4 linked regions of the Drosophila melanogaster genome follow. Each later gene encodes a partner of the first gene's protein in a complex. Each region holds a gene or a part of one and is shown in the gene's direction. Other genes may lie near its edges.

Region 1 (7,148 bases):
GCTTGCCTCGCCCGCTGACCTCGTCAAGGTGCAAATCCAAATGGAGGGCCGACGACGTCTGATGGGCGAGCCACCGAGGGTGCACTCCGCTGGCCATGCCTTCCGCCAGATCGTGCAGCGTGGCGGAATTAAGGGCCTGTGGAAGGGCAGCATCCCGAATGTGCAGCGAGCGGCGTTGGTCAATCTGGGCGACCTAACCACATACGACACCATCAAGCACCTGATCATGAATCGCCTGCAGATGCCCGACTGTCACACAGTGCACGTGCTGGCCTCCGTTTGTGCCGGATTCGTGGCAGCGATCATGGGCACGCCAGCTGATGTGGTGAAGACGCGCATCATGAACCAGCCCACCGACGAGAATGGCCGGTAAGTGACCAATGGCCGCATTTAACTATTGGAACGCTTAATCACCTATGTTATTCTCGCAGGGGCCTGCTCTATCGCGGATCCGTGGACTGCCTGCGACAGACGGTTTCGAAGGAGGGCTTTGTGGCGCTGTACAAAGGCTTTCTGCCCTGCTGGATACGAATGGCGCCGTGGTCGCTCACCTTCTGGCTGTCCTTCGAACAGATCCGCAAGATGATCGGAGCCTCCGGCTACTGAGCGGTGGCTCAATTTAAGTTTAGGTGTAGATGTACATACAAGCACATGTATAACGCAGTTCGTTCATGTTACCCCGCCTTTAAGTCGGTCATAATCCTATTTTCCGTGCCTGAATGCCCAAATGTCAGGAGGATGTTGTGCGGCTCCTGGCCAAGCTTAGCAGCATATACTCTGTCCATTTTAGTCTGTTATGCCAATCAGATCTTTCAGGTTTCTTTCTCTTACCTTTTGTTATTGTTGTTGCCTTAAGATTAAAATCAAAACTTACAATAAAGCGAGAAACTTGTTATTTCAACGGATATTACTTAGGCGATTACTTAAGAATTTCCCAAGAGTCGAGCGAAATCGAAAGAGACAGCAATGCTGGTGGTCAATGGAACTTGTATAATCCTGGCAAATAAATTATTAATAGGATTTTTCCCTTCCTTCAGTGAAAGTGAAACAGTTTTAAGTATTTTATCAATAGATTTTTTTTGGTATATGTATATTCCTAACCAGCTCGAGTGCAATTAAGTAAAATCAAGAAAATAAAATTGGTAATAATACCTAGGAGGCATACACACAGGCACACATATGTACATAAATACATAGCTACGTATAATATATAGATATAGATACATATATCCAAAATTGCATTTACGTTTCGATTAAAGACTCCAATGGAAAAGGAAAATTTGGGTGCCCAAAAGCAAACCACACACAGAACTGGAAACCCGCAAACAGATTGGATGGCAATGGCATTCGTCTACAGATCTTTCATCCGTCATCGTCATCATGGTTCAGGTTCATGTAATGGAGTCGTGGAGGGGAGCGGGGGAATGAACGGCGACGGTACTAGTGGTGCGGGTGTTTCGCAGCCCCTCCAGGTTGGTCTGTCGTTGTTTCTCCATCGTCGTGTTTTCCGTGTGGTTTCATGTGCAGGACTTAATCCGAAGTGTGTGTGCTTGACTAGACGCCGAGGAAAGCTAGTGCCGGTATCAGGATCTACTCCAGTCCCAGCATCCAGTTGATGCCTTGTACTATGAAAAAGATGAGCGGCTGCCAGGCCACCAGCCAACGAATCCAATCCAGCAGGCGACCGTACAAAACGTGCGGCTTCTCCCAGCTAGAGGAGAAACAATATTAAGTAGGCCAGTCAAACGGATGGCTCTGAATGGCTTACGGATTGCGGAACATCTTCTGGAGATCGACCTTTTCCTTGCAGTAGGGACACGTCTGCTTCTTGCCCACAATGCACCAACCACGTATACAGAACTCGTGGAATACGTGGTTACAAGACAACTTGTAGGTGTTCTCAATGACGCCCTCTTCCTTCTCCGAGACCAGCAACTGATTGCCACACACTGCGCAGACATTCTGATCAAGATGTCGTGTTGGAATACCCTGAGGTGTGTAGTACTGTGGGACAAACGGGAGGGTTAGAAGATTCCAACTGGGTATCTGGCCAATGGTCAACTCACGCCAATAGCTGCCGCCATCTTATCCGAACATATCTCGGATATATCACGCCCCAGGACGCCGATGTACAGGCCGTAGAAGCAGAACATCAGGCCCACATCCATCCATGTGTTTGGTGGCTGTGAGAACATGTAATTCATGCCCAGAAAGGCGGCTATGATCACCAGATAGCCCACCAGGCCAAGGCCATAGCTGAGCTTGTAGATGAAGTAGAACCACTTGTAGACCAGCCTGAAATTGGATTTTATGGGTTATTATCTGGCCTTCGTCGGTCGCCGTTCTTATCTACGTTGACTCACCTAGGCGTTGTGCCCTGGATGGGCTTGCTGATGGCCCGTCGCATAACCAGTGCCGTGATGCAGGTGAACACCAGCCAGATGATTATGAAGCGCAGCCAGCCGAAGCTGCAGGAGATGATCAGCGGAATGAGCCACATGGCCAGCAGGGTGACGAAAGCGTAGGATCTGTAGTGCCGCTTCTTCCACTCGACCAGGATGATCTGGGCAATAACCAGGGTGACGAACAGAATGATCACCATCTCGGAGTGCATGGCATCGTGGCCGCGATGTTTCTCCACCATCAGTTGATGCTGCGCTCTGTTCGATTGGATAGCCGAAAATTTGTTATGATTTAAAGGATTTTCTAAGGCCACTTCACTTACCGCATTCGCTCCTCCGGCGTCATTTCGTCCAGGGACTGATGGACATCCGCATTAGCAGGGAATTGCAGGGAAGAGGGAAAATTTGGCAGTAGAGTGGGGCTTCCTATTCGATTCCCATTAGAAAAGACTCACCTTGTTCAAGTCCACGGGCTCATGCAGGTCCATGTGCTCCTGGTGCATCTTATTGCCGTTGTATCCGCCGTATCCCGCTGCCGCCAATCCGCCGGACAGTCCCACTCGTCGTCTGCGTCGCTGCGTTATCTTGCCCACCACGTATTGCGATCGGTTTTTACCTTTGAAATTCGTGAAACGAAAACAAATAATTACATTTTATGCCTGTGTGCTTGTCCAGCTGCAGTGGCGTTGCCATTTGTCACAGCGGCCGAAAAAACGAATACATGTATGTGTGACGTGAGCCACAAAAATACAAGCGCGACCTGATTGTTAGAACCAGCTGTCCTGAGTATGGGGTTTTTCCCAAATTGTTGCTATTTTATCATAACCTTTATTTACTTTAGCTACGACAGCGCTTTCTGATTATCGAAAACGAAACGTTCGAGGCCAACGTTGCCAGATGCCGCTGCAGGCCGTGCCGATGTTTACCGACAATCAGCTGTTTGGTTCAATGAGTTGAGTATTTCGTTCCCAGCGCAAGCAAACTTATCGATAGTCCCGATAACCAACCATGTTATTTTAGGGCCCGATAAGTAAACAACAATATATTGTTAAGTAAATGTTGTACGTAGGTTTTTAAGCGAAATAAACATGCAAACAGAGCACTGGGGCTCGCTGCCCGCAGAGGATGACGGCGGTCAACTGACGCCGGACAAATACGTGCCCACGGCGGCCAAGAAACTTAAGCTGGACGAGATTCGCCAGCGCGGAGATCCGCAACCGCAAGAAAAGCAGTAAATAAATCTAAAGAAAAGCTTTAACGCAGCCGGTAAACTAACCATATATTCCATGTAGCCACAAGTTGGAGCTGAGGAGTGCGCTGGTCACCCAGACCATCGAGGTGATGAAGCAAACCGAGGTGCTGCAGTCCCTCATTGAAACGTACTCCAACAAAAATGCAAGTTCTTGGTTCTTGTTTAACCGTAGTATTTACCTAATTTACCCAATGAATTCATAGGGAAGTTCCAATTACCTCTTGAATCCGTGCCTAATGATACCGGAAGTGGACTTTCCGCCGGAGAACGCAGCCGAACTGGTGGGCAGCCAAAAGTTTCAGAAGCCCATTTGGTTCACACCAACCGTGGACACAGCCTACTCTCGCGGGGATCCGGAGGCATATCCGGAGATCCCCAGCTCTGCTTGCCGCCAGGCGATGCGCAAGGTGATGTGCGGCATGCTGCGCCTGGCCGGCTTCACCGACTGTTCCGAGTCGGCGGTGCAACTGCTGACGGACGCCACCGAGGAGTTCCTGCGCAGCTTTATCGGCGAGTATCGCGGCTACTATGACAGTCAGCCGCGGCTGCAGAATTCCACGGTGCTGCAGCTGGTCCCACTGGAGCGCGCCCATTTCGCCCAAACGGGCACCTCGCTCACCCAGGTGCACAACTACTACAAGCACAAGGTGCTGGCCAGGAATCGCGCGGAGATCGCTGAGTTCAACAGCGTACTGCAGGAGTACGACAAACTGATGAAGGAGAGCCAGAGCAGCATGCAGAAGCAGCACAACGAGTTCAACGGCCACGACTTTCTCAACATCCTGGACAACAGCGCCACAGGCAGCAGCCAGAGCATAGGCGGCATGGCCATGGGCGATATGCTGCAGGATCTGGGCGGTAGCACGGGCTCCAGTGGCACAGTCAGCTCCCAGCAGATGCTGTACGGCCTGCTCGATGGCCAGATATCGTCCAATACCTCCAACATGACGGGGACGAGCGGCAATGGCAGCACGGGCGGCAATGGAAATGGCAATGGGGCCACGATTAGCAACTTTCACGCCACTTTTGAAACGTAATTGTTAAAATTGCGGGGATAACTTCATTATCTCACACTGAGATATCTCTAGCAATCAAATGTTTCACACTTTTTATAGAACGACTAAGATCTCTAGGCTCAAGTTAAGTTAAGCTCTAAGGAAACGTACTAATTAAATAGTTTTTATTACGTGTTTTGTTTATTGCTCATCTTTTTGCTAATCCTCGACTCGTTCCAGTTGTTTTGTCGCCTCCGCTTGGTGAACTCGTTGGTGGGTTCAATGGCCACAAGTTTGGTTGCATTCGGATCGCTGGCTCTGTACTGGAACACTTTGTCGTGGCGCGTCTTTTTCTGGGCCCACGCCAGCAGGTCCCTGCCTTCCAGTATGGAGTTGCCAGTGACCACCACAGAGTCCAGAGCTTCGGGCGCGGATTGGTCTTCTTCGGGGGTCCGTCTCCTTATGTTAGGTTTCTTTTTCGGACCTGCAGGACCTTCCACCACCAAATCGGCGATCAAATAGCAATCGGCATTGGACACGAGCTTGACTTTGTCGGGTGGGGGCTTCTGTTTGCCTACGCCATTGGGTACATCCAGAGAGAACTCGATTTGCTCCTGGATTATGCCGCTCAGTCTGCGCCAAATGTGCGTTTGCATCTCCTGCGAGATCTGCAGATCGCTGGCAGGCGCGTCCTGATCCTCCACGTAGCGTTCACTTTTTACCGGCTGTGCTTCGTCCTTCCTAGTGGCCAACGGTTGCTCCTCGTTGGCTACTTCATGCGCCTCCTCTTTTGGCTGCGATTGATACATGGCATTTGTGAGCAACGTGGTGTCCGCCGCCTCCAGGAACTGGCGCATCTGGGCGTCGTCCTCGGAATCAGAGTCGCTATCCCTTGATTTAACTGGCATTTTTTGTACGCTCTTTGAATATTTATTTATTTACATTTAATTTTTAAACGATAGGTGTGCCGTTAACGTGCACGATGGTTGGAACTGCCATTTTCCAAAGCGATAAGTATCGATAGATTCTAAAAGCGCTATGATGGAATTCGAAATTACAAATAGGAGATTGATAATATTTTTGATTTGGCCATTTAGCAGACTTTTTAATAATTTTAAAAGAATCTAAACAAGTGATTTAATGTGATTGATTGTTAATTAAGGAAGTGCAGTCCAACTTTCCACGGTGATTATTACATTTAATGCTGTTTCCTGTAAAACAAATTCAACCGCTCAAAATCAATCTATTCGAAATAATGCCAGCTAAAAGTTAACGCTTTTATTGCTTATACAGGGATTTGAGTGATAACTTCGGGACCCAGGAACCCCACTAGGCCACCGAACTGCACAGACCGCAGTTGCTCACCGGGCACATCTTCATCTCCACATCCTCGCCCACCCGCACCACTGCGGCCATTCCGTTCTCCGAGTGCGGCGATATGTGACAGTGGAACATCCAGTAGCCGGGACTGTTCGAGTAGAACCGCAGGATCGTGTACCCGAAGGCGGGCACCTGGACGGAGTCCTTCAGCGGAGCACCTTTGGCGCGTCGCGGCAGCGGCGTCTTCTTGTCGATCTGTTCGATCTGGCCAATCTTCTGCTCCCCCAGCACTCCCATCCCGACGACACGGAATGTGTAGCCGTGCAGGTGGATGGGATGCGGCGTCTGCGACAGGCTGGAGATGACGAACTCCACCTGCTGGTTGGCTGGCACCTGGATGACGTTGGAGCACTGACAGTGCCGCTGGCGGCAATTGAAACCAAGATCCGCCTGTTGGGAGCGATTGCAGAAGAACTGGCCAACGCCCAGGTTGCGCGTCTGCAGCAGCGACATCTTGGGCATGCTGAAGCTGATGTCGTCCATCTGGAAGCGGAAGCCCTCGCCCTGCCGCACCTCGAACGCGTTCATGCTGGTGTAGAAGGTCACCGATGGCGCCACTTCCGGTTCCGGTCGCTGGGCATTGAGATTGGCCAACGATATGCTATTCCCAGCACGCGCACCGCTCGCATCGTCGCCCAGTTCATTGAGCGTCTTGCCCGGCGCATCGTAGGCATAGCTCAGGGTATGCGTGTCCAGCGCCCGGGTATCCGCGTCCCTGTAGTGCAACACCGCCTCCTGATGCAGCTGGTTCTTCGCACAGAAGCTGTAGCCCTTCACCCGGATCCAGTAGTTGCTCACCTCCTGGTTGGCGTGCAGCACGAAGTCGAAGCGCTCCGCGCCGTGGAACATGATCCGCTGCACCTCCACCGGCTCGATGTCGTTGCCATCGCTGGCGATCACCACCAGGTCGTGCTTATCGATGCTGAAGCTGATCGGACAGTTCGAAACGCCTGCAAATGGATGGAGGTACGTACATAAGATGAACTCAAATCCATTGCCAAAGCGCCCTAGCTTCACTCACCGTTGAAGATCACCCGGAAGCGATAGCGTCCGCCCCTGACCACCGGAAAGTGGGCATAGAGCGTGGGCTTGGCGGCCTTGACGCCCTTCTTCAGATTC
Region 2 (7,358 bases), on another chromosome or scaffold:
GTTGCGCTTCGAGAGAGTGAACGCAATCTGCGCGCCAGCAACGATGGAAGAGCTGCCCGCCTGGCCCAGTTGGATAGTCAAATAGAGGAATTGCGACAGGATAACACTGATCTGCAAAAGCGTAGCAAAGAGCTCGTCTCTCTAGTTGACGAACTGCGTCAGCAAAACGACCTGCTGTCGCTAGAAAACCAACGCCAGTTGCAATTCCAACACGACCTGATGCAGCAGCATCGCCAGCAAGTTGATGAGCTGGACGCCGGGCACCAGTTGCAATTAACGCAGGTGCAGGAGCAACTGGAGGAAGCGCAAAAGATGCAAGCAAACGTCTCTCAGCATACCACTGCATCCGCCGCGAGCGTGGACACCAGTCCAGAGCAGGCAAAGATCGATTACTTGCTTATGGACCACGAAACAGGCTTGGATGGCCACGCTGGAGACGTCTCTCTGGCCCAACTGGCTGCTCAGCGAAAGATATCTACTGCCTCGAGACGTTCCCACGACTTCATGCCGCTTGACGAGCTGCTCAACACATCAATGAACCAAATAACCAGCGATACCGTGACTACCATCTCTAATTTCGGACGCAGCGTTTCGCAGCAGGAGGACGAGGAAGCGGAAATGGCCGCACGGGGAGACTTTTCCGTCCAAAGTGCCCAGCTTCAGGCCACAAAAGAACGCCTAAGCATCCAGGAAAGTCGTGTCAAGCACTTGACTGCCCTGTTGGCCGAAAACGAACAGGATTTGGCTAAACTGACCCAAATGAACGACATGCTCAAGGAAGAATTGCGCCGCCAAGAGCGCTCCGAGGAACGTGAACAACACATGCACAACTCCGAGTACTTGAAGAACGTCTTCTTAAAGGTGAGATCAGGAACGCAATAACTATATCCACGGGCTTAATCTATTTACTTTATAAACTTGCAGTTCCTTACGTTAAACAATGTCGATGAGCGGCAGCGCTTGGTTCCCGTGCTAAATACCATTCTCCGCCTGAGTCGCAACGAAATGGAAATGCTGAACTGTGTGGCCAAGGGACAGAAAGGTAACTACTAGCAGAAAAATTTAAATTTTAGTATGGTTTCTTGTATTAAGATATTGCTTTTAGTTTCTGCAGATGGTAGCAGTCGCAGCTGGACGGGATTCCTCACTGCGTGGAGTGGAGGAGGCAGTCCCAATAATAACAACTAGCGAACATCATAGGATATATAATATATAAATATTCGTCTTGTTGGATGCGGATAGTCGTCAGTCGTTGGGCAGTTGCATAGCATTCATTCTGTAAATCTTGTACAATTTCCCTTTTATATATAATGTATTTTAAAATTGCTCGTTGCTGTTTGGCACATCGTACTTTGTACACTCTTGTAATTTGTCCACACCCGTTGTGTTGAGTGCCCTATACAGCACCACCGGCAATATGCGCGTTGTAGATTGAAGAAAGCCTTTGCATATATTTAAAAACAATGTTTTTCAATGGTTTGTTTAATTTGAAATTCTATTACCATATAGATCAGACTATAAATCAGATGCATTGTCTATAAATTAGTATTCCATTATTTGTATTGTATGTACTATATATAAATAGGATCGGTATTTATGCTTACATTTACACTTTTAAACGGTGTATATTGTTTACACACAATATAAAATATCATTAACATAAATCTTACATAAATTTCATTAAAACCAAAAGTGAGTAATCAAGTTAAATAAAAATTCTGTCTTGGCGGAATACATATGCAGGTGAACGATTTGAATCGAAATGCGCCAAAAGATTAAAGATCACAAGTCGAATAACTACTTAAATACTAATCAGTATTGTGAGCCCGGATCGGATCCTATGCCAATCTATTGCCAAACGCCCGCATAGTTGCCCACCAAAGTCGCCGGCAGTGGTCCTCCTGCAGCGAAGAGGCGCATCCTAGTGCTGTCATAGCAGTGGGTGTAGATGGCGGGCACATACTTCACCTGCTGGAAGCCATCCATCTCATCCTCCGGATACTGAAATGTACAAAACAGTTAGGTGAATTGGTGTATTTTGTGGAACTGTAACCTCTTCACTTACCACAATTCCTTTGCTGCACTTGAGTGCGACTGTGCGCGAGGCATTCACACTGCTCTCCAAATACTTTCCGGCTCGAATGTCGTAGAATAGGAGCATGCCCAGACCCGTGCCAACGGTGAGCAGGTTACCTTCGAACGAAGTCGCCCGTATACCGCAGCCACTGTATCGAGATGTGATCTTCTTAATGGTTTGAAGGGTTCGGGCGTCCAAAAGGATGGTATAGGAACGGCATCCAACGGCATAAAGGCCGTCGCTGTGGTAGGCGATGCTCACGTTGTCCTGGCAGTTTGGCAGCTTTCGTGAGAGTGTCTGCTTGAAGGTCTCCGCATTGAAGATGTGAATGTATCCGTTCAGCGAGAGGGCGGCGATCTCCTTAAACTCCTTGTTGAAGCAAAGAGATCGAATCTGTAAAAGATCTTATTGATAAAATGGTTCTTTGATTTGATTTGCATTCATAAGCTCACCCTCTGGGCAGTGCGAACTTCCTTGACACTAAGGGGGTGGATGGTTGCGAATGTGGGACACGCTTCCTCGCCGCCATCTGGAAACTCCATGTGATCCTCGTTGATGCGCCACAGAGCCATGCGCGAGTCCTTCGATCCGGACACAAGAAACTGGTCATCCAGCCAGCACATGCCCATTATAAGGTCGCGGTGCCCACCCTCGCCCACACAGACGGGATCCAGCGTAGGCAGTCGGTAAACAGCAATATCGGAGGAGTTGCGCGCACCGGTGGCTAGGAAGGATCGGCTGGGCGACAGCTCGATGGCATGCAGGCCACCCTGGACCTCAGGATGGTTTGCCCGGCTATTTGAGAGCGTTGGGATGGCGTCCACCCGGCGCATGTTCACATCGTAGACGAGCAGTTTATTGCACTTGGTCCCGAAAACCACTTGTCGACTGCTCAGCCACTTGGAGCAGAAGACCTTGTTGATGTAGCCCAGACTAATCTGCGTCTCGCGCAGCATGTCGTGGGTTAGCACATAGCGGCTGGTGTACTCCACATTGACACTGCGACGCTGCAGAGGATGGTGGGACAAAGTTCACGTTAGCAATGCAAGTGGTGCGACTTCACAACATATACCCACATCTCGGAGTCCACTCTCCCGGCTGCGCAGGTAGTCGCACAGGTTGTAGGATGTGTTCAGGACCTCCTCCTGCTGTTGGGGCGTCTCCTCGTCGCTGCCGGAATCCTCGTAAGTAACAAAGTCGTCTGGTTTGTCCGGTTTTCGTCTACGCTCCTGTCGCATCGCCCGCTGCTTGGCCCTGCGCTCCTCCAGCCGCGAGGATACGTGGCAGGACGGATAGGTGCCCACGACGCTGTCGCGGATGGTTCTCACCATCCCGTTGAACATCTTAAGGTAATTGTTTAATCCGATTTGTTGTCTTTTGCTTTACGGGTTATCATCCGCAAACAAAAATGGTGGTGCGTAGACTACAGTGGAACTACTGGTTCGGAACTGAAGTTTGCTGAACCGATTGTTTTGCATTTAATGCAGAGATACAAATTAAGGGAAATAAAAATACAAGTGTTGACATTTTTCTATTTGGCACAATACTCGGCCGCTCTGGTTACCTGAATATATATATATATATAATAATATATATATAATATACAGTATTTATATAAAGTCGGATGTCGCACAAATGCGTTACACTATCGTTCATCCCTAACGATAGGCCATCGCTTTCACAAAGGGTTTTATCTATTCTCACGAAATCAGCTGTTGCGATTGAAGTGGTGACTTTGTTTGTAAATAAAATGAACTACAACGCCAAGCGAGTAATGCGACAGAACTCGGTTTGCGTGGGTTCCAACGACATGGCAGCGTCGCCGATAATGATTGGACCTGCCCCGCCCTCGGCGCCCAGCACGCCGCAACTGCAGACCACCGAGGACATCAAGCCACTGCTTGTGCAGCGCCAAGTGATTCTGCTGCAAAGTGGAAGCATACCGACGAATCCCTCGCCACAGCAGATCAACCTAGCTGGACATAATGTAGCCGGTGGTGCCAGCGGGAGCAACGTTGCCAACGTTCTCATTCCGGATGATGCACCTGTCTCACTGCTCACAGAGATTGCGGATATCATGCGAAGCTTCGGCGACAGCGATCAGCCCAGGACGGGAAGTGTCAAGCTGGTGGAGCAGATCCTGCAGCAGCAGCTGCGCGGCATCTTCAATGAGGCTTCGCTGGTGGCCATGCGGCGGAAACAGAATCCCTGCCCGTCGCAGGCGGACTTTGAGTTCCTGATGCGCAACCATCCGGTGAAGATAGCTCGGATGCGAAAGCACCTCAAGGATATGCGCATACTCAAAAGGTTCCTTAGTATCCGCACGGGAAGGCCGCAGGACTTCATGGACGACTTGGAGCAGCAGGAGGAGGACGAGGAGCTGGCCATCGATGTGTACGAGCTACACGACGAGGACCGAATGCGAAGATTATTCCGCGCAGATCGGATATCGCAGATCCTTACGGGCCAGCAATACCTGGAGTTCAATGAGGCGCGCAAGACGTCATTCTACTGCCGCCATGGGGAGAAGATCAAGAACAAGTTCCGCCGCTTTCTGGACCTGCCCGCGGACCTTCGCATCCCAACGCCGACAATGAACATTTTGGCCTATCTGGCGCATGAGACCATTGCCGCCATTGTCGACTATTCGATCCTGACGCGCCTGAACTCGGACAACCGTGCGACCGAGCCCTACAGCCGAGTGACCTCCGCCGGAGGCAGTCCGGCTATGATGCACGTCTGTCCGGAGGTCACACAGGGTCGCGGCATGGAGGTGGTCAAGCCAATCAGTGTACCGGAGATCCACGAGGCCATGCGCCGTTTCCGGCAAATGAGCAGCCGTAAGATTGGGCGGTATCGCAACTCTTGCGACATCGATTTCCGGCGCAGTTTTCTAGCCATTTAAGTTTTAATGATCTTAATATCCTCGCCTATTTTTATTTGCGTCAATTATTGATTTTATTCACAAAAAATAGACTGTACAATTAATTCATTTAAAGTAATTCAATCCCCAACAATTAACGCGCTCTACATTTTAATTATACAAATTATAAAATAAAGCAATTTTGGCTCGTTAAAAAAGTTTTTTCCTGAGAGGTCAAGAACAACTAGGCATATTCATTAATTCAATTTGCCTGTGGCACATATCCTGGCCTTTGAGGCTGCGACTAAAAGACAGAAAAACGCACTCCAATTACGGACGGGTGAATCTGCCTCGCATGGAGCCGATAAATTGAAGCGGTAAACGAAGTTGAAACTGGCACCGACAGATAAATAAAAGCGCAATAAAGAAATTTGCCGACAGGCGCACTCGCACGTGTGCCACACAGACGGAGCGAAGGAGAAGGACCAGCAAGGATGCCGCAGGATTGCAGGAGAGACTGCAGCATAAGGCATTAAGAGAAGCAACTCGCGAACGCACTTAATAATCAACTTCCTGTTGTGCATATAAATGTGTGTGACACGCATAGCAACGAAGGGTAAAGGGGTTAAAATTCATTCCGCAGTTATGGGTGGCGGGTTTCATTCTGTCTTTTGCCGTGAATTGAAAAGGATTAAGAATTATTGCTCAATGTCACTTGAACTTTTAATATATGTACATATGTGCAATTGTGGTCATGATTGTATAGCAAAGGCAAAATCCAAATCTTTTCCAAAAACCTTTTTAAAATAACTTTTAAAAACCATTTATTTGAAATTTTTCTTATTCCTATCACCCGCTTGTTTATCTGATAACATGCGGTCCGAAATTTGACTTAAAATCGATGCACCTTTAAAGGTATCCTCTTGTTATTTTCTTCGGTGGGATATCCTAGTTTAATCGGATCTTAATGTTGATTGCTCTGTGCTGCAGATGTAATTCCAACGGCCCATTATTCTTAATCGATTGCTCATACGCCTAACGAGCGCCGGAACGCAGTCGATAGCTCCTCGATGGCCAGTTAATGAAAACAAGCTGGCTGTGACGAAATTAAGCCAACAACTTGTTTCCATTCCAGCATCGTCCTTGTGATTTTTTTCCTTGACCCCGCGCACTGCTCCCCACACTTCTCCACACTCACTGTTAATGTTTCCAAATTTGCATTTCATGCGGCTCTTCGCTTCGTCCCCAACAGGACCATCATCATCAGGTCCGTGGAGCTCGTCGTCGCGTCGTCATTTCTTCGTATTGTCAAGTCACGTAGCCAATTTCCAGGCCGCGTAAAGTCAATATGCCCCAATCCCTTGTAGCCGAGTTGCCTTAAACTTCTCTTAAAGGGAAGGCCCTCATATTATACGTATGTATGTAAATATGCCTCTATACCTTAATTTCTTGAATAATTTAGAATACAGAATTAATTATCCTTCGAAAGATACTGTTTTGAAAGATACTGTTTTCTAAACTTTTCTAACAATGATAGTTAAATAGAATTACACTATGTAAACAGAAAATCATAGCATGAATATTGAAAATTTTTATTCAAAATTGACTTATGTTTAAGAACATGTTTGCTGAGCGGCTAATTAAGTAAAGCTTTTAATTTCTCTAACTTGCCACAAAGAGTGTGCAGTTGAGAAACATCAATTGCATGTCTGGCTTAGCAATTGGATATTTTTGAAAATCCGTTCGGCTAAACTTTTTTAATTACTTTCGCTTTCTCGAAAAGTTGCTGACGTCAGCCGGAGGCAATTTCCCCCGATGCCCAGCCCCCGAGACCATTGACAGTTGTCTAGGCATAAACCATTAGAAGCTAGCAAAAAAATAAAAGGAAACCAAAACAAAAACAGTCCCTCGGAGGAGCATATTACACGGCCTTTTAATTTGAAACCGTCTTGGAATGTGTTGACACAAGTACTCAGGCTAAATACGCTGGAGCCGGTCTTATTCAAAATGAATGAGATTAAACGCCTCCAACGGAAAGATCCCGCCAACGCCATCGCCATTGCTCCGTCCATCCACCTATCCGTCCTATGAACGGAGCCCAAGGGCATTCTCATCTCATTGTCATTGGTGGCACAGCATCCATGGTCATGCCACTCCATCCCCGAGTGCGATTGGCAGTGCCACCGAGTGCGTTTGGGTGCCCAGGTGGGAGGCAGGTGGGTGACAGGCGGGTCGAGGTGAGCGCACAAAGAAAACTGTCTTTATTTAATTAGTTAAGTGGCAGGAGCAATTATATATTATGTGATCAAAATACTTGACCTACTTACTCAACAACGATTTTAACTTCCTAAACGCAGCTATTTACATCTTGAGTTAGGAACGCATGGATGTGTGATGAAAACAAGTTATGCGTATATG
Region 3 (8,270 bases), on another chromosome or scaffold:
AAATACTTGGATTTATTTTAACATCTAACATTATCAATTGAAAAGTCTATTATTTGCTAAATTTGTTGTTTATAGGAATATTAGGGAAGTAATGCTTTCCTTGTAATTGCTATCCACAAAACATTGAAATGAAGGCAGATAAATTTACCATTTATATGCATCTCTATAAAAATAAATGGGTATCAAAAACTAACGAAATAACCCTGTATCGATTATATACTTATACGAATTATAGAATAGAAGACCTGATGACAAAACCTTAAATACGAATGTATAGATTGGTTTCTTAATTATTCAACTTTGCGGTTGTTTTTTTATTGTTTATTCAAGTCGTTCTTTATGGCTTCAATTCATTTTACAAATGCCAAAACCTGGTTTCTACCTTTAAATCGTTTGATTTTTCTGTTCGGAGTACAAGCTAACTGTCACTACATCCTACATCGCCTGGATCCCACGACTGTCCCTTGCTTATATCATCGATGTAACCCCATTTCGAGCTCCCTTTTACGAACTCCCCCTTAATTTCGAAACGGCCTGCCATTCAATCGACTTCCCCTTTATCGCCAATTAGCCGATACAGAAATGATTAAAACGCTGGCAGCAGAACAAATAAACAATGCCGAGAGGATGCTGAAAATGCGGTGGCGGCGAAGGTGAGATAGGGAGCTGCAGACCACAATCCGCAAAAGAGGGGGAGCCTCAAAAAGAAAGCTTAATGTTCCAACTTCCATGCTCCATGCTCCATGCTCCATCGTTGTCGTTTTCGTCTTCGTTGTTGTGGTTGTTGTTTTCGCTGTCGAACCGCCGATCCCCCAACAGACGGCGACGTCCGACGACCGGAAATGTGCAATAAAATTTGAATGTTTCTTTATTATTATCATCATCCCCATCATCATCCGCTTGAGCCCGAGCCCGAGCCCGAGTCCAAGCCCAAGTTTGCTCCCAGCCTCCGTGTTTGTTGGTTTTTAATGCCTCTTGGCCTGCAACTCCAACTTCACTGCCTCCGCCCTCCTCCTCCACCTCCTCGTCATCCTCTGCGCCCAGTGCTCCACTCGGGACAGACCAGTTTCTTGGCTCCTCTTACTGGTGCTCCTCTGCCTCGCCGGTTTGGTTGGACTCGCAGAGGTAGTAATATATGGCAGCCCCGCAGTGACGTTGCCAAAAACAGGACAACGCTCCCGCCTGCTCCTACCACTCCTCCTGCTCCTGCTCCTCCGCCAACGCCAACCGCCTCCATCCCAATCCAGCCATTCATTCATTCATTCATGCCTGGGTTCCTGGGACTGCAGCTACTCCTCCTCCAAACGGGGTTCTCTGCGCTGCTCGAAATGTGCAGAAGTCGCCCGACTGGTTTGCCTGCCCCTTCGATATCGGCCGAGAAACTGGGTTCTGGGACCTGGCTTCCCGCTGCCAGCCTTTTGCTTTATTTATAAACTTGGTTTCCTGGCAAGCTGCAGCAGCAGCTACACTGAGCGCCTGGAGCAGATGGATCTTTCATCCCGACGGGATGCCCACGCTCCGTTTTGGCCGCTTCCCACGCCGGCAGCTCGGTCAATCGCCCATTGGCAGGCCAGGCACGTTCCTGCGTTTCGCTCAGTGTAGGCCAGGCCCAGACTTTAATACACACACACACACACACATACAACCCAGGCGAACTCGAAAAAGAGCGTAGACCAAACGAGTTTTCGTAACCAATTTTGTTGGTGCCTTGGAGTTTCGATTGTATATGCTTTTTCTGTTGTTATTATTTATTTGTTCGAGTGTGTGTGTGCCGTTTTTTTTGTTTTATTTTTATTCATATTTTTTGCCGATGACGGCTACGTCTTCTTGTGCATAATTTCTGTGCTGCCTTAAACTCTTCCTCCTGCCCGCTCTTGCCGCTCTCTGCCGCTCCGCGACTTTGCAGCTTTTGGCAGAGGTTCATTCAAAAAAACGAAAGACTTAGGCAACAAACTTGCAGGACAGAGCGGGCCAGGGGGGGGTAGAGATTTGGATACATAGACGCAGGCAGGCGATCGGGTGGAGGAGAACCTTTGTAGAGTCAGCCTCGCCTCAACTCCAACTGATTCATTACGCCCACTCATCGACCGCATAATCGAAGCCAAGACGACAGACACGTAAACCGCAACGAGCATTGGTGAATCGCTAGCCAGACAAAACCCAAATCAACCGCAAAGCCACAGCAAATTTATGGGTTTTAATTGAAATTCGATTTTTGTCTATAATATGGACATATGGACTATTACTATTCAGAGGGCTAGCCAAAAAGATGGCCAAAACAGATAGCTCGTTTTCCTGAAAACCGTTTTTGACTCTTGATGTTTCTTTTTTTTTCTCCTTGCAGAGATGCGTGCGACGTCCAAGGTGCTGACCACCACCAAATGGCGACGCGAGCGGCGTCAGCGTAGTGCCGGATACCAGCCGCACGAGGCAGGCAACAGCGAGAGGGAGCGGGAACGGGAGCGGGATCGAGAGGATCGCGACATGGACAGTCCCATTGACATGTCGGTGACGACGGGAGCTCTGAAGCAGAGAGCCTCACCGCCGCCACCCTATCGCGAACCCTTGCCTGGGACCAACTACGCGGCCAACAGTCGACCCAGCGTCATTACCCAGGCTCCACCCAAGCGAGAACCACCGGAGCAGGCCCACTCTACAGGTGAGAAGTCATATATGCACATTAGTGTCAACGATCATACTAACCTGATGCTTTGATTTGCCTTGCAGATATGGCGATGTGCGACATTGACGAGCACTTCCGACGCTCACTGGGCGAGAACTATGCTGCCCTGTTCGCCAAGAAGTCACCGACGCCTACGCCAACACCCACGCCCTCGCCAAGTGGTACACCTAAGCAGCAGGTTTCGCCACTGGCCTACGGACTGCCTTCATCAACCAGCACAGCGGCATCGCAGCACTACCAGCAGCAACGCTCGCCGCTGGCCAAGTCGGGATGGGTCATTCTGGAGCCCGAATCGCTGCAGCCGGAACTGCCGCCGCCGCAGGAGGAACCGCTTCCCCTGTCGCTGGCACTGCATCGCACCCAAACGCCGCCATCGCCGCCACCTTCGGCCACGGGATCGGCACCAGCGCTACCCACGGCCGTCAGCCAGGTGATGGAGGCAGCGGTGGCGGGCAGGCGGATCCTGGACACGCCACACCACACGCCGCCGAGATACAACACACCACCGCCTCCACCGCCGGCTTACGGAATAGCCGGAACCACCGTTGTGGCGCCGACTTTGACACCGACACCAACTCCGAATCCGACGCCGTCGCAGATTCCCACGCCCACGCCCAGCATGCCGGCCATCATTCGGGTGAAGGCTGAACCGGGACTGGCGGCCGTGGCTGCCTCCTCGACGCAGACGCCGCCCGCTTCGCCCACCTCGTCCACGAATATCTCGATATTCACCAAGACTGAAGCCTCGGTGGACGACCACTTTGCCAAGGCGCTGGGCGAAACTTGGAAGAAGCTGCAGGGCGGGCACAAGGAGTAGAGGAGGAGCAAGCGAGCAAATCACCCACCAACCCGCACACAACCCGATCCCGATCCCGATCCCAATTCCCAACAGAACTCAACACAACCCAACCCAAAAGCAACCCCTGATCCTCAACGATTCAACTCAAGAGCTGTTTTTATTATAAATATTTCAAACTACACAATTAACGTTTAAAGATCTCATGCTGATGTGAACGGAAATTCTTCAACTGCGAGTGTATTACAAGTTTCTGATATAATGATTTTATTGAATATTGATAACGGTTAGCGCGCGGATATAATTATATATATATATATATGAATATTTACATATATATGGATAAATGTGTATGACAAAGTGTATACGTACAAGTGACAAAATTTTGTATTCTTAACGCTTAGTTGGTAGAGACTAATCCTTAATAATATACCTATTAAACATAAGTAAACAATCCTACAAAGTCTGTCTATTCATTCACCGAAAGTGGGAAATAAACTGCAAAATTTCAGATTTTGAATTGCATATTTTGAATTTTCAAATGACTGTTGGGCGGCTAACAGAGCGTTAACAGCGCGCGCCTAACAGCACACAGTGCATGGGCAGCCAATGTGCACACACCACTAACGGCAGACGGAACGGCGACAATGCCATTCACAGCGAACGATAACGATTGTTGGCATTCGCACGGCACGAATCGTACAGTACATTTACATTGCAAAAAAAAGCATAAAACAAAGTTTTAAAACAATTAAAAGCGAGCAATCCTCGGCGTATCATTAAAGAACCAGCCCACTGTTCGCCCCATAACCGCAGCAGAGCGCGCGACCTTGCAAATTCACGGAGCAGCAGCGCCAGAAAGAGAGTTCGTCGGCAGAGGGGCGCAGAGAGAAAATGTCACGCAAAGCAGCAGCAGCAGTGGAAGTGGAAAAAGAGTGAAGAAACCGCAGTAATCGCCATCGGGATCCGATCTCAGTGTCCTCCAGTGCAGCGATTCGTCACACAGACGGACCGAGGAGCACCCCAAAACGATCCTGATGCGGCACAGCCGAGTGCTGAGTGTGGCGAAACTAACCGATGGACAGCAGCAGCAGCAGCAGCAGCCAGCGAAAGTAGGAGACAACAACGGAGCCCTGCGTCTGCGGTCCTAGAAATTCGTAATTCGACGTTCACTGGCAACACGGACACCTGCTAGCGCAATGCGAATGCCGCCGATCCTGGCCAGGATTGTTCGTAGACTGGTGCTTGGATGTCGTCGGTAATTGGGTGCGCCATCCTCCGTTGGATCTCCCCTAGCAATCCGCTGGCACCACCATGCAAAGCCTGGACTCCTCATGCCAAGAAGCCGACGTAAGAACTGTGGCATTTTTCATGCAGCCTGAATACGATTAATTCCCATTTTACACTTTATTTTTCGACAGTTTATTATAAATGACACGCTCAAAAAGTTAAAGGGTTCCAGCAACGCGGACCATGTCCAGGGCCTAGCGGTCCACGCCCACGGTTCGGGTGTCCACCAGACGCAGTTCGTCCAGTACGGCACGTCTGGATCCTCGCCGCAGCTGCAGCCGCAGCAGTCCTACCATCAGCTGCATCCCACGCTCCAGCAGCAGCAGTTCGCCTCCTCGAGCAGCAAATCGTACCTGGAGACCAGCCTATTGCAGGCTATACCACAGATTCCTGCCCAGCCGCCCATTTGTATCTTCGATGACGACGAGTCCCCCACCGAGGGCACTGGCGGCTCACTGGGCAGCCTGCTCACGGAGCCGACCTCGGCCACGCCCAGCGGCCTGCCCACTGCAATTGCTCCGTCGCCCTCCTCGTGCTCATCCTCCACCACAACGATGTCGAACTTCAACTCAATCACGTCGCCGTCGCCGGTGGTGCCCGATCTTCTGCTGTCGACACCGCCGGGCGTTAACTCCAGTCTAAGCAATAGCTCAACGGGAGCGGCCAGTGTGTCCAGCAAGAAGTCCGAGAAGCGGCCACCCTCCGCCAACTCAACAGCCAGTGGAGGCGGCCACCACCTGCACCATCATCACCTCCACCAGACGCACAATCACCATGTCCTGGCATCGCCCACGTCGTCGCCCAGCAAGCGCCAGAAGTCCAATAGCAGTAGCAAGGAGAGCAGCTCCTCTAGTCGCAGCTCAGCTATACCCGCCGCATCAGTCTCCACAGCCACCTCGTCGTCGCAATCAGCGCGCGCTGGCGCCGGCGCTGCCTCCTCCAATAGCAACAGCAAGCCACCTTCATCCGTCTGCCAGTCGGGCAACAGCAAGTTCTTTAATCTGCACGAGAAAATAAGGGACCTGTACCTGCAACTGCTGAGCAACGACCTAAACTACTTTGCCGAGACAGGGGTAAGTGTTGAGCCAATCAAAAGCGGAAACCTTATGTAAGGACTCTTATCACTTTCAGCTAAAGCAGCGCACTCGATCCTTTACACTGGAGCGGTTGGTGGATCGGGAGAAGCTCAACACGATTGTGGTCAACTTGTATCCCGGCAATAAGGGATACTCGCTGGCCCTGCATTATGACGAGCACATGGTGCTAAATCCGCAAACAAACGAATGGTCCCCCACGGACAAGGACGAGACCTCGAGCGATGCTGCGGGATTGGGTACGGGAACGGGCAGTCATCGGAGTCGTCCCAAGCCGCTAGCCCAGGACGAAAGTCAATCCAAGACGGAGGCGGGTCACGCCAAACACGATTTTGGACTCGTGGAGGTGCTTCGGTGGCCCTACGAGAACGATTTGCTGCTGCAATGCATCGATCGTGAAATGCTGCCGGAGTTTTTAATGGATCTACTCGTAGCGGAGACCGTCAGTTTGTCGGATGGCGAGGGAACACGGGTGTACGCCAAGCCTAGCGTCTTCTATGCCGGCTGCGTTATCGCCCAGATCCGCGACTTCCGCCAGACATTTGCCACCTCAACGAATATCTGTGATATGAAGCACATCCTGCTCAGGCCCACGAACGCCACCCTATTCGCGGAAGTGCAGCAAATGGGCAGCCAGTTGCCGGCGGAGGACAAGCTCGCCCTGGAGAGCCAGCTGGTGTTGGCCACGGCGGAGCCGCTGTGTCTGGAGCCGGATCCCAGCATAGGGCGGCAGGCCATCAACTCCCAGCATCAGCGTCAGCTGTACAACTCCCACGAGCTGCGGCGCCAGATGAAGAAGTTCACCCAAACGGCTATCAATCGGAAGCGCAAGTTGGACCAATTCACTCACCATCACGGACTGGAATTGTGCGATTACCTGGCTCGCCTGCGCCAGCGACCGCGGACGGGAAGTAGCAGTGGTGGCGCCAATGCCACACCGGCCACGGCGCCCACCAACAATCCGCTGGTGGGGGCCATGCTCTCTTCGTTCACATCGAAGGTGCCCCGGCGACCACACGAGGTCATACGGCCCATTCGTCCGCCCACACTGGAGTATCCCGCCAATCTGAAGGTGCCCGAGCACGTGATCAGCGTGGAAAAGTATGCCAAGGCCTACGAGCCCCTTAACGAATTCAGTGAGGCCTGCAAGGACGGTTGCCAGCCAAACTGTCGTCATAACTTCCAACCGCAGCTGGTCGAGGAATACATTCTTGAGACGGAGCGGGAGGCGAGTGAAGGCCGGCGGGCTCTATACCACATAAAGCTGTCCATTTTCCAGCGCCCCTCCGATGCAGAGTATCTCGGCGAGCTCTATGTGGACCGAGATTACCGGGAGGGTGAGCGAAACGGCGAGTCGTGCCGCTTTGCGCTGGGCACTCGGGTGCATGCCAATCGATACATTCAACAGTTCCGCGAGATCTTCACCGAGGAGGGACGTAAGGCGGTCAAAATCACGCATTTGATACCCGGGCATATGCCAATTGTGACTCACACGGGATTGACGAATGAGCAGCGGATCCTCTTGCAGCAGCAACAACAGCAGCAGCAGCGTCAAGCTCAAATGCAGCAGCAACAACAACAGCAGCAGCAGCAAGTCGTTGTTGTTGCCAATCAGCAGCAACAATCGCAACAACAACAGCAGACACAACAAGCGGGACAGCAGTTATCCGCCACAGTGCATCATGTTGCACTGCCGCGACAACAAATAACTCAAAAGACTCTCAATTTGGCTGGAAGTAATGTAATCAATGTACAACAAAACTTTCGGCAACAATCAGCGCAGCAGCAGCAGCCGCAAACATACACAATTGAGGCACCGCAGCAGCAAGCTGCAGCACAGATTGTCCCGCAACAACAGCAGCAGCAGCAGCAGCAACAACAACAACACATACATCTTCAGCAGTTGGCCACCGGCAGCAGCAATACCTCCACAACAACGCACCAAGTTAGCCTCAGCAATGGTTCCCTGGTCCTTGTGCAACAGCAGCAGCCACAGCAGCAATCGCAACAGCTGGCACAGGCGCTGCAACATTCGGGCATAACCATCCAGCCCGCCACCATTCAACAGCAGCAACAGCAGGTGAAGGGCACTTCCGTGGTGGGGGCCAATTCAGCGCTGCGTGCCCAGCTCAACTCAAATGTGCCAATACTGGTTAGTAGAACATGGTCAATTAAGCATTGCTAGTTTGTCAATAACTTTATGTACTCTCCTATTCCGCAGCAAACGCAGCTGAAAGTGCAGCAGCAACAGATTATGCAGAAGCAACAGCAACAACAGACAACTGCCACTAGTAACAACAACAACAACAATAATAACAATAACAATATGAACAACAATACGGCCATACATCCGAATCCTGCAATAAACGCCATAGTCAACAGCATTATGAACTCTGCCAACCAGTAC
Region 4 (6,933 bases), on another chromosome or scaffold:
GGCTACTTATGGGCCACTGCTAAAGTAGTATACTATATAATTATCGGATTCAGTCGTGTCTACAAATTAAAATGAAGCCTGTGTGATGCGGCATATTCAGCGGATCGGGCCAGAACCGGATAGCTCACCTGCTGACTGGATCAAGGGCATATATATCTGCGTGTCCGGATTTTTGGGGGTATATCCTTGGGATTTTCTGGGATCTGGATCTCGAGACGGAATGACAACAAACTACAGCTGAGCAGCTCTCGACAACAGCTGAGCGCACGTGTATCTGTATATGTATCTGTATCCGCGTAGCCGTATCTGTGTGAGTGCGGGTGGCTCAGTGTGTGGGTGCCAACTGAAACGTCGATAAAATATTTTTCTTAATCGCACAAAGAACGTGCGGCACTTGAGTAACTGTCGTGTGAATTAAATATTTCCTGGGCATTCACAAACAACAAAGCCACACAAAAACAAATTGATGACTTTTTGTTTAAGCAATCAACGGCACTGTACGCGTTCTCTTTTTTGTACGCACTTCACTTTTAGAACATTACACAATCAGTTAGAAAAAACTGGCGGCTAGTTGGTGACCCACTATTGCCATTTAACTATTATTTGCTTATTTTATTCCGCGAGCAACGAGCGAAATTCGCAGCTCCTTCATGTGTTATTTCAGCGCTGCCACCGGGCCGAAACTGTTCTGGCGTGTCTGCAGCCCTGGTGGCGTTACCAGACTACTTACCATCCCGAATCTCCTAAATAAACCAAAACGCCTGTTACAGCGCCAAAAGTCGCGACATCTTAATTAAAAACATTAATAAAATTGTTAAAATGTCCAGCAGCAAACTAAGTCCCCGGGAATCTGGAGCCTATATCGTAGAAAATGCCAAGCATGTTCGTATTCTGCCTGCAGGCATTGAGAAACTGACCCAGGAAATCGTAAAAGGCCTAATAGAAAAACGCATTGCTGTGGAAAACTTCTCGCAGCACGAATTACATCCCAATCCAAATCAGCCGGAGGATTATTCCAAAGCAGCCGACTGGGTCTTTGTGTTGGACACCCTGAACTTTTGCTTTTGGACCCCCAGTGAGTAATTGATATTTATAGCAGCATCCACTATCTTCAATGGTAATCTTCCGCAGATAACTACACCAAATATAAGGTCGATGGCTATACCGGCTACTTTGCGCTGTGTGCTGCGATTAAGAGAGCCATCAAGGAAGGCGTGGATGTGATCAATCCCAAGTTCTATTCCCAGATTGATCTGAAAACCGTGGAGAACATTTTCCGCTCTGACGATGGCGAGACAGTGATTCCGCTGCTCCAAAAGCGTCTGGAATCGCTCCATGAAGTGGGAAAAGTTCTGATCGACAAGTACGACGGCAGTTTTGAGAATGTTATCAAGAAGGCGGAGAAATCGGCAGTTCGCTTGCTGGATCTCGTTGTGGAGGAGTTTCCCTGTTTTCGCGATGAGGCTGAGTTTGCTGGAAAGCGAGTTTCCATCCTAAAACGAGCGCAAATCCTAGTGGGCGATGTGTGGTCCTGCTACAGAGGTCAGGGACTTGGGTTCTTTAATGACATCGATCAGATAACCATGTTCGCTGACTACCGAATTCCCCAGGTGCTAGTGCACTTCGGCAGTTTGGAGTACACCAGTGAGCTAATGGAGTTCCTAAAGACGGATACTATTCTGGAGAACGGCGATCCCCGAGAGGTGGAGATACGCGGCGCATCTATATACATCATCGAACAAGTTAGGGATGCTGTGGTGAAGATACTCAAGGAGCAGCACCCCGAAATCTCACTGGACAACGTCAACTCCATTGTGATCGACCAATATCTGTGGGACTACCGGCGTCGGCACAATGCCGACCTGGAGCACATTCCCTTCCACAAGGTGCTGAGCATCTACTACTAACGACGGCAACACAAATAAAGACGGTTCTTTGTTAAACTGAATTGTCCTTTAATTATCCACACGCGGGGCAATCATCTACAGAGTAACAGGCTTTGGCTTGCCCTTCTGGGAAGCGATGCGCTCGTTGTAGCGCTTCACGGACTCCTCGCGGGAAAGGTTTCCCTTGCGTGCGTAGCGCTGGTTGATCAGAAATTTCACATCCATCTAAAGACGGGAAGGTTGTTAAAATCAACTCTAGATGCTAACTAAATATGCATATTTTTGAATACTTACACCCAGAGTGGACTCGTGGCGTTTGCGCAGCGGGCGCTTGATGCCATTACGATGGGCCTTCTTGTTCTGGTTGTGATTTGTGTGGTTCTTGGACTTGGCCATCTTAAACTACTCCGGGTATCCAAAGATTCGTTGATGGGGCGGCACATGAAAACAGAAAAAATGTTCGCCATTATAATTTTAGCTTGGGGTTAACACTTGGAGTTCACTTTTAGCCAACGCCAGTTGAACAAAAAGCCAACAACTGTTGAAATTTTCGTTGCATTTCTCGTGTATTAGGCACCTACGTTTTTCGCACACTGGAATTCCTAGCTGCAATTGAAGATATTATAAATAAAAATAGCCAATTGGAAAAACGCGGAGCACACTTACGGAAACGCGATGGAAAAGAAGGGAAAGCCAGAGAGGCTGTCATAGAGCGCAGAAAAGGGACTAAATAACGCCAACCACGTGAAGATATCGTGCTGTTATCTGCGTGCTGTTAGGCGCACTTGCTTCCATCTCCAATGTAAGAAACGTAAACAACTTTGAAAAGTAAATATTCGAGTTTGAGAAAAAGATCCACTAAAGTCAAATAATGAGATTATACGGTACAAAAATCTTAACAATAATTACTCTGTTTTACTCTGTAAAATAAAATTTGCTAAGATTAAAAAAATACTGAGGTAAAATATAAAACTATCGCATAGTTAATACTAACGCGTTGTCGACTTTACGCTTATGCTTGTTTTTGTTTTCATTGCGTAGGTAAACAAAGTGTTCAAAAAACAAATTTATTATATTGTTATAATATCGAAACAACATGCCACTGACTGCGGAGAGTGCCGCCCAACAGATTCAGGTAAAGATGTTAACAATAAATGTCGATATATACTATATTTATATGGCATTTACAGGATCGCCTGAAGGACATTCAACAAAACATTCACAATGTGGACGAGGAGCGTCGTCGTGCGGAAAACTCCATTGCTAGTCTGGTGCGATCTCTGCACGCCACCAATCAGAAGGTTAAGCCCCTGCTCAAGGCCAGTTTAACGGAGGCTGCGCAGGAGGAGGCCACAATCCGAGCCGCACTGGCGAAAATCCACGAGATTCGAAGCATTCGCAATGAGAGGCGCATCCAAGGTGGGTTAGTGATGGGATGTATAAACAGGATTTAATCTCGCATATTCCACAGCTCGCAACGCTGGAAATAAGGAGGCCATTCGACGGGGCGCCCTTATGAAAATGGTGCAGCTCTCAGCGCAAACGTTGCCGTTATTCGTTGGCAAACTAGGAGAACGAGCACCAGCTCTATGTGGAGCCATTCCCGCCGAGGGGAACTATGTGGCCAAGGTAAGCATTCATTTTGATTGGACAAAGAAGCTGGGATGATGATCTGACTAATCGGACGCCACTGTATAGGTTGGCGACAATGTTGCCGCATTAGCTAAGGGAATTGATGAGGAGGAGAACTGGATCCTGGCGGAAGTGGTGCAGTTCCTTCACCGTCAAAACAAATACGACGTAATTGACATTGACGAGGAGCAAAAGGATCGCCATGTGCTGAGCAAGCGAAAGGTCATCCCACTGCCTCTAATGCGTGCAAATCCTGAGACCGATGGTCACGCCCTCTTCCCCAAGGACACAGTGGTAATGGCGCTATATCCACAGACCACCTGTTTCTACAAGGCCATTGTCCATCGCCTGCCGCAAACCGCCACCGAGGATTACGAGGTGCTATTCGAGGATTCATCGTACACGAATGGCTATGCCGAACCCTTGCCGGTCGCACAGCGCTATGTGATTGCATATCGTCCAACGAAAAAGGGGGCTGGCAGTGGCAGCGGGAATCTATCATCAGCATAAAAAATGTATTATCTTAACTTTAAGAATTAAATGTAATTGTAATAATAGCTCCAATTAAAATTGTATTCAATTCACAATAGACTGGTTTCTGTCTGGAATAAGAAGAAAGTAATTTCAGGGTGGTATTTTAATACCGGATTTTTTGGAGAACGGTTACATTGATTTCCTAAAAAAAATAAATAGACTTTAAAGTTTGTAGGAAAACAAAGGGGAAAGGCAGGCTTATAAGATGAGTAAAACGAGCTTAGCGACGCAGACCAATGGCACGGCGGAAAATGGAAACTGTTTTGATATCCTCAAAGTGTCTAATTTGTTCGAAACCAGCCTTCTGGACGAGGATGACGTACAATTAGACGCATACTTGGCAGCCTACGAGGAAATAATGAAGTAAACTGAGTGATTATGATGTTTATGTTTTTTAGTGGTGCTCTATTGGGCTTTCGGTGTTCATTAGGTTCTTCCAGCTCATGGGCAGTGTCTTCAGTTTTGTCAGCAGCGATGTGCGCAGTAAAATAGATATCTTATACGCCCTGAGAGCCAAGGACGCGGAGGAGCAGGAACACTTTAATACCTTCAGAACCATGCTGGATTACGAGAAGGAGGCCCAGTTGCTTACTCAGAAGGGTTACGTGTCTGGCAGTCGAACGCTGCTACGTCTTCATCGCGGTCTTGGTGAGCGTTATGCGCATATAACTGCCACAGTGGCTAATTGATTGGTTTCTTCTTATCTAGACTTTGTCTACGAGTTTCTCAATCGGATCCAGGCGATACCCGACGACCAAAAGACTGTGGACGTGTGCAAGGAGGCCTACGATGACACCCTGGGCAAGCATCACTCATTCCTCATCCGCAAAGGAGCGCGCCTGGCTATGTACGCGATGCCCACTAGGGGAGATCTTCTCAAGAAAGTGTGCTCCGATGTCGAGGCGGCCAAAGAGAACCTGCCTTCCATGCTGAAGCATATGAGAACCAACTACGATCGCACAGAAGACCTCTACACGCTATACGATCTACACAGCCTGCCTTAGAATCCATACATACATAATCCATATCTATACATCTGGGGCATTCAAAAGATCTGATAGAGTGATAAATACCAAAGTTTCCCTACTTTACCCTAGCCAGAAAAGATGCCTATAATATGATATTATACCATACTTTTATAATATGCTTTTGTACTGTATCTAACTCTCTATCAGATCTGGTGTCTACCCCGGCGTAGATTATGTAGCTAAAATTTTCTGTATTGATTGTGTAACTGCAAGTATTCGTTTCCTAAGACGTAAGTTTTAATTTTGCATTTTGAATTGCCTGCAATCGCTCATCTATCGCCTTGTCCACAGGCTGTGCAATATTTCCAAAATCCCCCGTATTTTAACGCCATTAAAGCTTTAGTCATGAATGAAAACTTGTCTTATCTCTGGGTGTATTGAACTTGGTCAACCTGGACAAACATAGTTTCTCGTGCCAGTTCCAAATATAACAGCATAATAAGCGATCCCGATTAGATAAGCTGCTGGGGGAATGCTACCTCATAAAAAACCCACTTCGGATACAAATGGCTTGGCGTATCTGCTTGTGATTATGGTCCAAGACAAAGACCGCTAAAACTCCCCTATATCTCCAGAATCCAGTCAAGATATATGGCCATTTGGGCTTAGCGAGCTAACTTTTGGAGCGCAAATTGCAGTAATGGCCGCCGTTTCAATTGCAGTCTAATTGCGCTATCGATTACGCCTTAGTCACTATCACTACGTATCACTATCAAAAGCGGTGAACTCTCAAAAAACGTGTTGAGTTGGCCACTTTATCGCCGTTTGGACAGGCGTTGTGCCAAGTGCAAACCGTAGAAGATGGTGGTTCTCCGGACAAATAATCCACAGACGTCACTGCTCCGTCTGTGAGTGCTGAAGTCGTTAAAAGCGCCTTCGACCGTCCGTTTTGGGGCATATTCAATCCGTCTGGCGCCGCGAGCATATGGAGCCATGGATGCTTCTAAGCAGTCGAGTCCGAAAAGAGAGAGTAATCCGTTTATCAAGGCCAATATAATCTCTAAGTGGCTGTTCCTGTGAGTCGTCAATATTTTTTTTTTATTGGTGAAAAGTGAAAATCTCTGCGGAAACGATGGTCATGGTCAATCAGTGAATAGTTTACAACTCGCGATAAGGATAGTGCTAATTGTTGCTAATAAGTGCTGATAAACAACATCTCCGAAAAGTTTAAGCAAAAAAGTTAAGATACTTGTAATGCCCAGAAGTCAGCTTTGGAATATCTTTTTCAAAACTCATTAAGTGATAATGGTTATTTTTAACCCATAGTTTCCACATGAGATTTCGGTCATAAATCGGAATTTCGCGATATTGATTGACCATTGACTGTTGGGCAGTCACGTAGTAATGCCCTGGATCAGACATGCCATTTGCAAGTCGCCTACCTTGGAGATACTTTGATAAGATATTGAACGACTTATCATTTTTCCTCCTTCAGATGGATGCACAGTGTTTTTCGGAAGGGCAGGCGGGAGGAGTTGGACGCGAGTAAGCTGTACGAACACCTGCCCAGTTTCGATAGTGAGTCCTTGACCAGAAACCTACAGCCCCACTGGGAGAAGGAGTCCAAGAAGAAAAATCCGAGTCTTATGCGGCTGATCTTTAAGGTCTACGGATGGCAGTTTGTTCCCGTTTGCATTTTATATTCTCTGTTGGAAATGGCTATTCAGTGAGTACAGAATCTAAATATACTTCCGGAAATCACAGCAATCTCACTTTTCACTTCCGCTTTAATTGCAGTTCCTTCCAGCCTTTGCTGCTCGGAGGATTGATCTCCTACTTCGCCTACGGCCAGACGACGGTGACCAAGGAGAGTGCCTATCTGTACGCCATGGGCATTGTCCTGTGCTCGCTGG

What was found.
Region 2: Spt7 (region 1) and Spt3 share a complex: the UniProt entries of both Drosophila melanogaster proteins name them as parts of the spt-Ada-Gcn5 acetyltransferase (SAGA) complex.
Region 3: Spt7 (region 1) and Spt20 share a complex: the UniProt entries of both Drosophila melanogaster proteins name them as parts of the spt-Ada-Gcn5 acetyltransferase (SAGA) complex.
Region 4: Spt7 (region 1) and Sgf29 share a complex: the UniProt entries of both Drosophila melanogaster proteins name them as parts of the spt-Ada-Gcn5 acetyltransferase (SAGA) complex.

Annotation. Positions count from the first base shown.
Region 1 is NC_004354.4:17,847,051-17,854,198, forward strand, and holds Spt7 (Spt7), read left to right. Parts: upstream 1-3,409; 5' UTR 3,410-3,490; coding exon 3,491-3,633; intron 3,634-3,694; coding exon 3,695-3,797; intron 3,798-3,857; coding exon 3,858-4,691; 3' UTR 4,692-4,837; downstream 4,838-7,148. Other genes in the region: Ucp4A (uncoupling protein 4A), read left to right, coding at 1-369, 432-606; CG15814 (uncharacterized protein), read right to left, coding at 1,591-1,711, 1,769-2,004, 2,067-2,295, 2,364-2,660, 2,726-2,760, 2,858-2,905; CG32554 (uncharacterized protein), read right to left, coding at 4,838-5,557; Mco4 (multicopper oxidase 4), read right to left, coding at 5,979-6,979, 7,051-7,148. UniProt on the Drosophila melanogaster protein: Component of the transcription regulatory complex SAGA, a multiprotein complex that activates transcription by remodeling chromatin and mediating histone acetylation and deubiquitination. The SAGA complex predominantly acetylates histone H3.
Region 2 is NT_033777.3:12,013,399-12,020,756, forward strand, and holds Spt3 (Spt3), read left to right. Parts: upstream 1-3,757; 5' UTR 3,758-3,827; coding exon 3,828-4,982; 3' UTR 4,983-5,152; downstream 5,153-7,358. Other genes in the region: GCC185 (GRIP and coiled-coil domain containing 185 kDa), read left to right, coding at 1-861, 925-1,042, 1,106-1,188; DCAF12 (DDB1 and CUL4 associated factor 12), read right to left, coding at 1,849-2,001, 2,066-2,470, 2,530-3,084, 3,154-3,420. UniProt on the Drosophila melanogaster protein: Component of the transcription regulatory complex SAGA, a multiprotein complex that activates transcription by remodeling chromatin and mediating histone acetylation and deubiquitination. The SAGA complex predominantly acetylates histone H3.
Region 3 is NT_037436.4:13,498,556-13,506,825, forward strand, and holds the start of Spt20 (Spt20), read left to right. Parts: upstream 1-4,151; 5' UTR 4,152-4,793; coding exon 4,794-4,829; intron 4,830-4,900; coding exon 4,901-5,842; intron 5,843-5,900; coding exon 5,901-8,015; intron 8,016-8,084; coding exon 8,085-8,270. Other genes in the region: Tgi (Tondu-domain-containing growth inhibitor), read left to right, coding at 2,345-2,659, 2,728-3,500. UniProt on the Drosophila melanogaster protein: Component of the transcription regulatory complex SAGA, a multiprotein complex that activates transcription by remodeling chromatin and mediating histone acetylation and deubiquitination. The SAGA complex predominantly acetylates histone H3.
Region 4 is NT_033778.4:21,289,409-21,296,341, reverse strand, and holds Sgf29 (SAGA-associated factor 29kDa), read left to right. Parts: upstream 1-2,695; 5' UTR 2,696-2,845; intron 2,846-2,900; exon of another isoform or gene 2,901-2,927; 5' UTR 2,928-2,982; coding exon 2,983-3,021; intron 3,022-3,076; coding exon 3,077-3,305; intron 3,306-3,357; coding exon 3,358-3,515; intron 3,516-3,584; coding exon 3,585-4,028; 3' UTR 4,029-4,103; downstream 4,104-6,933. Other genes in the region: CG9752 (uncharacterized protein), read left to right, coding at 820-1,075, 1,132-1,907; RpL29 (ribosomal protein L29), read right to left, coding at 1,983-2,111, 2,181-2,282; CG30392 (uncharacterized protein), read left to right, coding at 4,258-4,415, 4,483-4,700, 4,761-5,056; CG10505 (uncharacterized protein), read left to right, coding at 6,014-6,096, 6,516-6,746, 6,818-6,933. UniProt on the Drosophila melanogaster protein: Component of both the SAGA and CHAT histone acetyltransferase complexes, which both predominantly acetylate histone H3.